2 linked regions of the Drosophila melanogaster genome follow. The protein of the gene in region 1 interacts with the protein of each later gene in a pairwise test. Each region holds a gene or a part of one and is shown in the gene's direction. Other genes may lie near its edges.

The links. The genes of interacting proteins can lie anywhere in the genome.
Region 2: the proteins of P58IPK (region 1) and CG5080 interact in a two-hybrid assay, tested with the Drosophila melanogaster proteins (one large-scale study listed by BioGRID).

The regions. Positions count from the first base shown.
Region 1 is NT_033777.3:9,585,093-9,590,097, forward strand, and holds P58IPK (P58IPK), read left to right. Parts: upstream 1-1,849; 5' UTR 1,850-2,270; coding exon 2,271-2,367; intron 2,368-2,430; coding exon 2,431-2,544; intron 2,545-2,904; coding exon 2,905-4,190; 3' UTR 4,191-4,489; downstream 4,490-5,005. Other genes in the region: CG8301 (uncharacterized protein), read left to right, coding at 124-594, 657-806, 864-949; bocks (bocksbeutel), read right to left, coding at 4,638-5,005.
Region 2 is NT_033779.5:1,159,749-1,165,455, reverse strand, and holds CG5080 (uncharacterized protein), read left to right. Parts: upstream 1-1,569; 5' UTR 1,570-2,367; coding exon 2,368-2,456; intron 2,457-3,309; coding exon 3,310-3,529; intron 3,530-3,586; coding exon 3,587-4,166; intron 4,167-4,236; coding exon 4,237-5,012; 3' UTR 5,013-5,166; downstream 5,167-5,707. Other genes in the region: IntS14 (integrator 14), read right to left, coding at 1-317, 376-916; Tango14 (transport and golgi organization 14), read right to left, coding at 5,356-5,700.

The DNA.
Region 1 (5,005 bases):
TACTTCCTACCTTCAGGACGATACATTTTTCCGAGTTTTCTACTTCATGACACCCTCTACGACTAGCCATCCGTTATCTATGTGCCAATGGATGCTAAACCCATTTTTGTCCAATCCCAACAGTCTTTGCATCCTATGCGGAGAAAAGGATTCACATGCTGGAGCGGCACAGGGAGAACCTGACTGCCATCGAGCGGAGTGAGTGCATGCTGTGCCGCCAGCCCTTCTCCAGCGAACCGGATTTGATCCACCACATGTCCGCGGAGCACTTGCAGCGTCCTGGCGCTCCCATCATAGCGAACAACAAACGGGTGCTGCAACAGAAGCGGGAACGCCAGTACTCCGGACTCTTTCAGTGCGGCAGCTGCAGCCAGAGGTTCAACATGAAGTCCGCTCTGGAGCGGCACGCTGCCGTGCATTCCGAGAAGGATCGACCGCACGCCTGCCCGCACTGTTCCAAGCGGTTCAAGCGCGCCCAGGACATGAAGTGGCACATCAAGACCCACGAGAAGGAGAAGCCCAATGTGTGCGATGTTTGCGGCAAGGCATTCGCCCTCAAGTATGTGCTCACCCAGCATCGCTTGAGTCACGAGGGTAAGGATGTCCACATGTACATATGTATTATTAGAAACATGTAATACATCAATCTTTTACAGTCTTGGAGAAGAACTTCAAGTGCAACGTTTGCGGTCGAGCCTATCTGTTTGAGAAGTCATTGCGGCTGCATCAGCGAACTCACACGGGCAAAACCTACTACAAATGCGATCTCTGTCAGGAAAGATTTGTCACGCACATTAAGCTCAAGAGTATGTATGCGAAATCACTCAATGATGCCCTTCCATATAGATGAACATCACTTCCAGCTCACATGCAAAAGGCACACGCCGCCTCTCAGCCGCACTCGGCGGACCAGCCTCTGGACGATCTGATCAACATTGTGATTTCCTAACCAAGTGGAACAGCAAACAGCATAGATTTCTGTTGTAGCCAAGCACAGTGCAGAAACTGCAATGCATTGGAGCGTAGCTCCCGAAACTCAAGCTTACATAGACCATATACATACATGTACCCTCCATCCAATTACACTTACTAGACCATATGCACACACGCAGCGATCTCTGGAACGTGAAAGTGCTTAGAGCTTTATTTAGTGGATATTCCGTAGGGCATAAACCATATAGCTATATCTCTGTCCATTTCTTCGATCGGTCCCTAAGGCACTCCAGCCGCATATCTCTTTCTAACTCTGAGCCATATTAATCTCACAGAACGCCTTTAAACACTACCAGCACATACATACATATATCCATTTGACCACTTAGCGATAAGAAATAAGCAATGAGAACATACAAGATGTTATACGAGCAATCTAAGCTTCGCGGCGAACTTTTAATGCTCAAGAAATGCATTTATTTCCAGATGAAACCGATAAGTATTTACAATAATTACCGAAAATGTATAAGAATATTTAAAATATCAATATACTATGGATTTTATTATGTGTAGTTGCAGATATATTTACCAAATTCATGTTCCGAATAAACATTCATGTGACCAAAGTTTGAATTGCCGTTACTTTTTTAGTTGGGCGGCAGAAATCGATTGGTTTAGACAGCTTTTTGCAATGATTGCAGAACTAGCTTTAAAATAGCGTCAAAAAGCTAGTTCTACTTTAATGACTTGTGTAGTGCGATCTAAATAATTTACTTCATTTATTATGAAATTTCTTTTGATCAGTTGTAGCTAGACAACAGCCAAAAGCTGCCAGCACTGCCGTCGCCCACATCCGATAGTTGCGACTCGTGACTGCGTGAAGAACCAGTGACTTGTATCACCTGCGGCCAAAATTCGCCCATCCCTAGAGAACGTGAACACGTCAGTTTTTAGTTTATAATATTTATAAGCGAAAAGTTCAGTGCACAGCGGTCGCGATTCCGAACTAGAAGTGGCTGCAATGCCCATGGGGAGTACCATCTAAACTCCATAACACACAGACAGTCAAAACAATCAGCTGACCAAGTCAGAAATTACCGAATAATCATCGCAGACGGCGCCGCAAGTTTACCAAAAACGGACGCAAAATCCATAACAGCGAGCTGAAAATAAAGCCGCCAGTGAAAGTTGATGTGCAGGAGGGGAAGCGGTGCGACCGTAGAGATTAGAAGCTGCCACGCCAAGCAGATTCGACGTGCGTGTCGATTGGGAATCAACTCCAAATCACGCCCACACTGGTTTTTTGCGGGGGCATCTAAGTACACGTAGCCATCGTCATGGCCTTGCCATTGAGTGACCTGCTCATGATCGGCGGCGGCGAGAAGAAATTGGCTGCCTGCCTGGTGCTGCTCCTGCTGGAGCTCTTCCTGGAAGGTACGTACTTCAAATCCTTATCTTCGAAGGCATCTGAAATACACGTCATTGTTTCTCGCTCAGGCGCCGAGTCGACGGCCAGTCCAGCGGATATTGAGAACCATCTGGAGCTGGGCAAGGAGTTCCTCGCCCGCGGACAGCTGTCGGATGCACTGACGCACTACCATGCAGCTGTTGGTAAATATAACTGGCTTGTACACACGAAAGAATCGGAATATCTATGACAATACATTTATATTCTTTAATTCACGTGAATTTACATAACATCGCGTTCAAAAGTGTCCATTGGCAACGAATCTAAATATTTTATAAAGATTTTAATTATTTTTGATTAACAAATCATAGAATCGTATGGTTTAAAACATAACCATGTTTTGCAAATGCCAAGGTCAATAAACAAACTTGTATCTTTTGTCTTGAATTTGATGATAACATTAATTTGGTAAACTTTTGTTTAGGACTACATTCATTTGTGCTAGGATATTTTTTAGCCTTTCTATGCCCTCGTCATTGATTTAACCATTATCATTTTCACAGAGGGCGATGCCAACAACTATCTGACGCTTTTCAAGCGCGGCACCGTCTATTTGGCGCTGGGCAAGACGCGCTTTGCCGTCCAGGATTTCAGCAGGGTGCTGGAACTGAAGCCAGACTTTATGGCCGCCCGAATCCAGCGGGGTGTTGTGCACATGAAGAGCGGAGAGTACGAGCAAGCGATCCAGGACTTTGATCAAGTCCTTCAAGAGGAACCCAACAACGGCTTGGTGCTGGAGCACTATTCCCGCTTGGCACCCGCCCAGGAGCAGTGGGTCCTTGTACAGCAGCTGATCCAATACAGTGATCACCAAAACGCCATCCCCATGATCACACAGTTGCTAGAGATCTCGCCGTGGGCTGTGCCCTTCCGGCAGGCTCGCTCTGATGCCTACATTGCAATCAATGATCCACTGTTAGCCATTGCTGACTTGCGACAGGTGAACCGACTCACCCAGGACAGCACTGAGGGTCACTACAAGATTGCACAGCTGCTGTACACAATTGGCCACGCCACAAATGCCTTAAAAGAGATCCGCGAGTGCCTGAAGTTCGACCCGGAACACAAGCTCTGCTTCCCCTTCTACAAGAAACTACGAAAGGTGGAAAAGCAGCTGGTTAACGCAGAGCAAGCGCGTGAGGAGAAGCATTTTGCCGAGTGCATAGCCGCCGGAGAGGCAGTCCTGCGTAACGAGCCGGAGGAGACGATGATCCGGTATGAGGGACACAAGGTGCTCTGCACTTGCTACACGGGCGACGAGCAGTTTGGCAAGGCTTTGCAACAGTGCAAGGAGGCACTGGATATTATGAAGGATGCTCAGGTCTACTGTGATCGTGCTGACGCATTGCTGGGCACCGAAATGTACGACGATGCCATACACTCCTTCCAAGCAGCTCTCGACCTGGAAGAGAGCAACACCCGCGCTAAAGAAGGCATCCAGAGGGCAAAGAAGCTGCAGAAGCAGTCAGAGCGCAGGGATTACTATAAGATATTAGGCGTTAAGCGTAGCGCCAGCAAACAGGAGATTGTGAAGGCCTACAGGAAGGCGGCGCAAAAGTGGCATCCGGACAACTTCCGCGACGAGGAAAAGAAGGTGGCCGAGAAAAAGTTTATTGACATTGCCGCAGCCAAGGAGGTTCTCACGGATCCCGAGAAGCGTCGTCAATTCGACAACGGCGAGGATCCATTAGATCCTGAGAGCAATCAGCGTGGCGGCTTCCATGGCGAACATCCGTTTGGACACTTCCAACACGGGTCGCCGTTCCAGTTCAAGTTCCACTTCAATTAGTCAGCCAGCAGCCATTTGCTTTGTGATGTCCTAGCCGCGATCCCCGATATCCTTTAACGATTTTACACTGTTTTGTTCATTTAAATGGCGTGTAAATAGTAGCATAAAGCATAAATAAACCCATGGTCCGTTGTCAGAGAGTACCACAAACAAACACAAATCGCAACAAAACACACTGAGCACTTACATTTAATTAGTTTATTTAATACAATACAATAATTATAATGTAGTACATTTTTCTAATTATGTATAAAAAGAAACAATATGCGAGAACAAGCAATTAAAGACTTGGCAAATTGAGTTGAATATTTGTTAGTTTTGAACATGTTTGGAATTGAAGTAGTAGTCTTAAGGTGCAAAGTCGTCATAAATATTCCTTCGCTGTAGTCTGTGGTTGAAATGCGTGGAGTAACCAAAACCAAATGTATTCCGCGATATGAACGCTTCTCAGGCGTTGGGTGTCAATACCACGTACACCATGGTGGCCAGCATCACTGACACTACCAATATTAAGTAGAATTTGAGATTATATTTTTGATCCAATGACACCGCCAGTGCACGGAACTGCGCCATAGGCGAAACCTGATCGTGGTGTCTTACCAGAGGTTTTCTAGCCAGCGGCGAGAAGCGATTCTTTTGGAAATGGCTATTGATGGGTACTTCCTCGACTTCGGACTCGCTCTCCGTCTCCATGGGTTCGCCTGCGTCATTCGGCTGATCGTAGAATTCATTTAGTTGTGGATATAGAGTGTTTACTGCGGTGGTCGGCTGGAGCAGGCGACCACGGGCCAGATTGGATCCACTAACTGGAACAC
Region 2 (5,707 bases), on another chromosome or scaffold:
GTCCGAAAGGGACAGGAAGCCACACACCTCAATCTTCTGGTCTGTGTGGCGAATGGTGGGTTCTCGGCCGAATATGTGGGACTTTTGCTCATACGGAGCCGTCGGTGGCCAGAGCAGAACAGATGCCTCCATGCGGAAGTAGCTGCCGCATTTCAGGGTCACCTCCGAACTCTTGTAGCTGGCCTCGCAGAGACGTTCAATTAGTTCGAAGACCGTAGTGCGGCCCAGTTCGCTTTTGTGGCTGGGGTTCGGGTTGGGATTGGGATTTCCCTCGACTGCATCGCTGCTCTTGGCGGGCTTTGTCATGAAGAGCTGGCCTGGAAACGTAGGTACACCATTAGTTACATGAATATCTTTGAATAGAGTGCAGCTCACCCTTCAGTGAGACCTTGTCCAGCAGCTGCTGGTACACCGCCAATCCCCTGGTGAAGTAGTAATCGCCGTGCAGGCCCAGGCAGATGAAATTCAGGTTGTAGTTGGCCAGAGTCTTCAGGAAGCCGAACTCCGGCTCCGACTCCTTTTCGGCGTAGGCCTCCAGGAAGCCCGTGATCGAGGTGTTGCCAAAGCCGAGGCCGCAGTCCGTAAAGACAACCACCTGCAGGATGTTCTGGTTGCCCCACGGCGACATTATGGACACCACCGCCTTGAGCATGCTCATCAGGCAGGCCTTGTCCACGGGCTCCACCTTCTTGACCGCCTGCCGCACCTGGTCGTAGTCCCGCGTGAAGTCCACCTTCAGTTCCGCCGTCGTCGAATAGGAGAGCAGAGCAACGTGCTCCAATTTGCCGGCCGCCGTGAGATTGTCCAGCAGATGCTGGATGCCCTTGGTGGCCAGCGACTGGTAGGTGTGCTCATTTCTTCCCGGCACCGGGCGCAGCATCGATAGCGATGCATCCAGCGCTATTAAGGTGGGCATTTCGTAGCTTAATTAAATTTATTCAGCGCTTTATTTATGTTTTCTCCAATTTTTGTTATTTATGCATCTTCTTCTTCTTCTGCTCCAGCTGAAGTGCCATTCGCAGCGCAGCGAATAACGGTTTCTAGTTCCAAGTGAATGATTTTTGTCCATAGCTTGGCGCCAAATAGAAATTCAAATACATAAAGTGCTGAATTTACAATCTTGATAAAATACAATCCTAATGGTTATTACTTATTGAGTGAGCTTACATAACTGCCTTCTCCACAAGTAAACGAAATATGCCTAATAAACTTATTTACCCATTTTCGAATCCAATTTCCCGGAATCGCCTCCAGCAGAATTCGATTATATTGGAACAAATAAATGTAAATAAATAACTCAACCCAAACGATTTGGGATGCCAGCTTTTAATTGGCTTGGATTTCGCCGCCCAAATCATTTGTCTGCATTGCGCTCGATGATTTTGTATTAGAATAAATTGAATTTTGATTCGTCGGCACCCCGACTTGCCTCCATGCGGGAACTCATCCCCACTAAACATCTCCCATTTTAATTACTGAACGCATGAGCGGCTGAGAGCGGAGAGAGAGGATCCACTATCGGGGAGCAGCACGGATCCACAGCTGGTACGGAAAAGTCGGCTGGTCCAGCATCATTCCTCGTTCGCAACTCGAGCTGTTAGGACGTCCAGCTCCAAGTTTTCGAGCCAAGTGATCCAAGTGTGTGTGCAAAACAGAGGCTACTCTTCGAACTTGAGCCATTCAATTTCCCCCAAGGGTGAGTTTTTCCCTATCTACCTGGTGCAATGTGCGATTAGTGAACGAGGCCAAAACTTTTCGTACACCCCTCTCAATTCGTCAACCTCTAACCCAATCCTTATCGCCGCGAATATGTCCAACCTACAGCAGAAATCTCCGGGGAAATTGCGATGGCAACTGGTCTTATTGTAATTTCGATTCGCCCTCGCGAATTTCACTCGCTTATTTCTGACCCAATTTCCCGAATGCATCACTTCCTCCATATCTTCCCGCGGAGGAGAATGAATCTGGCACATGCAGTGTCCAGCGGATAATTCGCGTCATTTGTTTATCGCCACAAGAACAATATCGCATCCACATATGTATGTATTTTTAGCGAGGTCCATCCGGACAAGGAACCAATCCGCTTTGTTCCACTGACATTTCTTTATTGCTCGCCTGCACCGCCGCAAATATTGCACATAAATAAGCCTACATTTGTTTACCCCATTGTCGCTAGCGATAAACATTCGCCGACGCAGCTCCAGAGGAAGTATCCGCATCCACTGGCGGCGAACGGAGGCGCCATCGCTACCCATCCTCAATTCCCCGTTTCCGTTCGATTTCGATTTGGATTTCTTTTTCCACAGGTCACCCCACGCAGTGGACTCGCTTACCAATTTAAGATCGCATCGACGCACCAAACCCACGATGGCCGGAGGAAGTCGCCCTCTCCAATTAGTTCTCCTGGTCCTAGTTGCGCTCGCCCAATGGCAACCCATCGCCGCTGGATTGGTCTCGTGAGTAGATTTCATTCATTTTCGGGGAAAAGCTTGAATAAGTACATAGATCTTTGGTCCAATGACATTGTGGAACCCTTCGCTTAAACCACTAAATACCAACACTCCTGGTTCTCCATACACATTATTGATTGCCCAACTCCATCGGAAACTTCCATTAGCGTCGTAAAATCACTCAGATCTTCAGTTTCTAGACCCAATTGATCCGCTGCCACTTCAAGTTCTTCGTTTGAATCTCTTGGAGGGGCCGATGTGGATTCGAGGAACCACAACTGCAGCCCTCCGGTTTTATGGTCTTGACACATGTCACACATCGCGGAGTGGTTCTGGTTCCCGCTCATAATGCCCTCCACTGTGCCCAGACTTCAAACTAAGTGCATTTGTCGGCGCCTGGGGCCGTCGCATATGTGCATCATGGTTGTGGGACGTGCAGTATGGAGTATGGAGTATGGATGCAGCCCATGCACAGCCACTCCCCAGTAGTGAGTGGTGCCTTCAAAGGGAGCCAAGATGTTGGCGCTGCGCCTATTTGTTTGTTTATTTTGGGACTCTGGCTGGGAATGGGGGAGTGCTCCCAGAGCTCCCACTGCTCGCCCATGCAAATGGGCATGTGTTCCGTGTTTCCCCTCCACAGCCACACATAGCCATGCCACATCCATCGCCATCAATGCAGTTCACACAAACAGCGTGCGGAGTGGAGGGCTCCTGACCCTGAGATCCCAGCCCTTAATATTTATAGACGCGCCATCATGGTGGTGGTCCCGCTGCCATCTGCCCTCCCCCACTCCGATGATTAATGGTCCGCAGCGAGGCTAATTTTAAGCCACTAACCCTAACCCCCTACCCTTTCCAGCAACGAGGAGCTGCGCGGAACTATCCAGTCGCTGATCTACTCCTACAATCAGCTGGACAATAAGCTGGAGCGGCACGAGCATCGCGAGCGTGCGTTGGGCGAGCTGCTCAAGAAGGCGCTGCAGTCGCTCCAGAAGGGCCAGAAGAGCCTGGAGCCCATCAATGGGATCTTCGGGCGCCTGGACGAGCGGGTCAGCCAGATAGAGACCATGCTGATCACGGTAAGTCAGCCATAAAGGGGTAGTAGATGTTATCATCCAAACTTATCCGATCCTCAGCAAGAGGAGAAGTACAACTCGCAGTCGGACCGCTTCAACCAGGCAACGGAGCACATGTTCAAGTGGATGCGGGAGAACGACGAGTGCTTCAAGAGGCCGCCGGTCAGCGCCAACATGATCGCTCCCCCAGCCGCGGCCGCCCCACCCGCCATTCCCAAGGAGTTCCTGGAGGATCAGAAGCGCCTCAACGCCAAGCTGCTCGAGGAGATCCAGAAGTTGTCGGCCAGCGTGGCCGCCCTCAAGGAGAGCAGCCAGAAGGCGTCCGATCAGACCCAGAAGCGCCTCGAGGGTCTGCCCAAGGCACCGGAGCTGCTGTCCCAGATCGAAGCCAAGCTGCAAGAGCACGCGGCCAGCGTGACCACCGCCGCTCCACCGAAGAACGCTGAGTTCGAGGCCCAACTCCTGGAGCGTCTCACCTCGCTGGGCGGCCAGGTGAGCTCTCTAAGCGAGACTGTGCAGCGACCAGCTGCTCCGGTTGGCCTGAGCGAGACGGATCGCGCCTACATCCAGGAACTGAACAACGATACCCTGAATGCGCTGGCGCAGCTGAAGAGCGAGTCCTCGGTGGAACAGAAGTCAGGTGAGTGTAGAACTCATCGCAATTGGGGGTCAATCCACATTCACTTCCTCATTCCCTATTATGCATACAGCTGCGACGGAGGCCACGGAGCGACTGCAGCAGGCGGAGGCCAACATCCAGGCGGACGTTCGCCAGCTGTCCGCGGACGTGGGCATTCTCAACAAGCACTTCGCCTCGACTAACGAGAGCAATGCCAAGCTGAACGAGGGACTCGAAGCGCTCGGTAAGTTCAACAACATCATGATGACCAACTCGGAGGTCGTGCTGGACACGCAGCGCAAGGTGGACTTCGGCACACTGAACGTGGTGCAGCGGGTTGGCAAGCTGCTGGCGGAGGAAATGGCCACGCTGAGCGGACTGCTGAAGGAGCGCTTCTCGTCGCTGGACGGAGCGGTGGTGAGCATCCAGCAGGAGGCGAACAAGAACATCAGCGGACTGCTGGAAACGGAGCTGAACCAGGTGTGGCACCGCATCGAGATCATGGCCGGCGAGATCAGCCAGAGCCGGCTGATGCTCGGAGATATCCAGTCCGCTTCCGATGGCTACAACAACAGCACTCTCATCACCATGATGGGTCTCGGCAGCCGCGTGGAGGAGACCAAGAAACACATGATCGACATGGACGAGAACCTCAACTATCTGCTGGGCAAGCTGTCGCTCATGTCCACCGAGTTCGCCAGCATCAAGAAGGGCCTGGCCGACTCCCTCGAGGATCTGCGCAACTCCTTCCACGGCCTCCACGAGCGGATGCCCACGGGTCCCGGTCCGCACAACATCGACAAGAACACGTATCTGACCGACGTCAATCTCCTGTCCAAGCGCCACGCTGAGCCCGGTCGGGAGTAGAGCGGCTGAGCGCCGGAGATGACACTTGAACGAAAAGCAATACAATACTTTTAACCATAGCGCTTAAGTCTGCCCACTTACATATACTCATCTAGTTGCGCCTTAAGCTTAAGCACAGCAAAACGTCACTCAATAAAGATCGAATATTATGTACAAGATACGAGCTGCTGCGTTGCACCGCCATTAGAAACGCGCGATCCTCTCCAGCAAAAGACACTTTCATGTGAACAATACACTTTTGCAGTTTACTCTTACGAACTAAAAGGAATTCCTGGCGATAATTTACATAATGTTAAGGTAACTAGTTAATATAAGGGTGTCGCTACCCACGCGAACGATGTGCCTACGTGCCCCACCGCTGCTCGCACCGCGAGTACTTGCACAGGATGCTGGCGAACGTCTCCACGTCGAAGTGGCGTCCGCTGGGATGCGTGTGGAACTCGGTGAAGCGCGCGTGCCAGGGAAGCAGGCCGTAGGTGCACGTCTGCCGGGCGAACACGATGCCCAGCTCCGGCTCCGGGGCCTCGAACCCGAGTCGCTTGCTCAGCATGTCGCTGATCTGCTCCGTCAGCGCTTCGCGCTTCTGCTTAAGTAGGCTCTGCACCAACTCCGTCTTACTGTCTTCGTACAACTCGCGGCAGACGTCGGCGATCAGGGCATGGCCGTCGGAGGCGCTGATTTGATGGAGCTGAAAG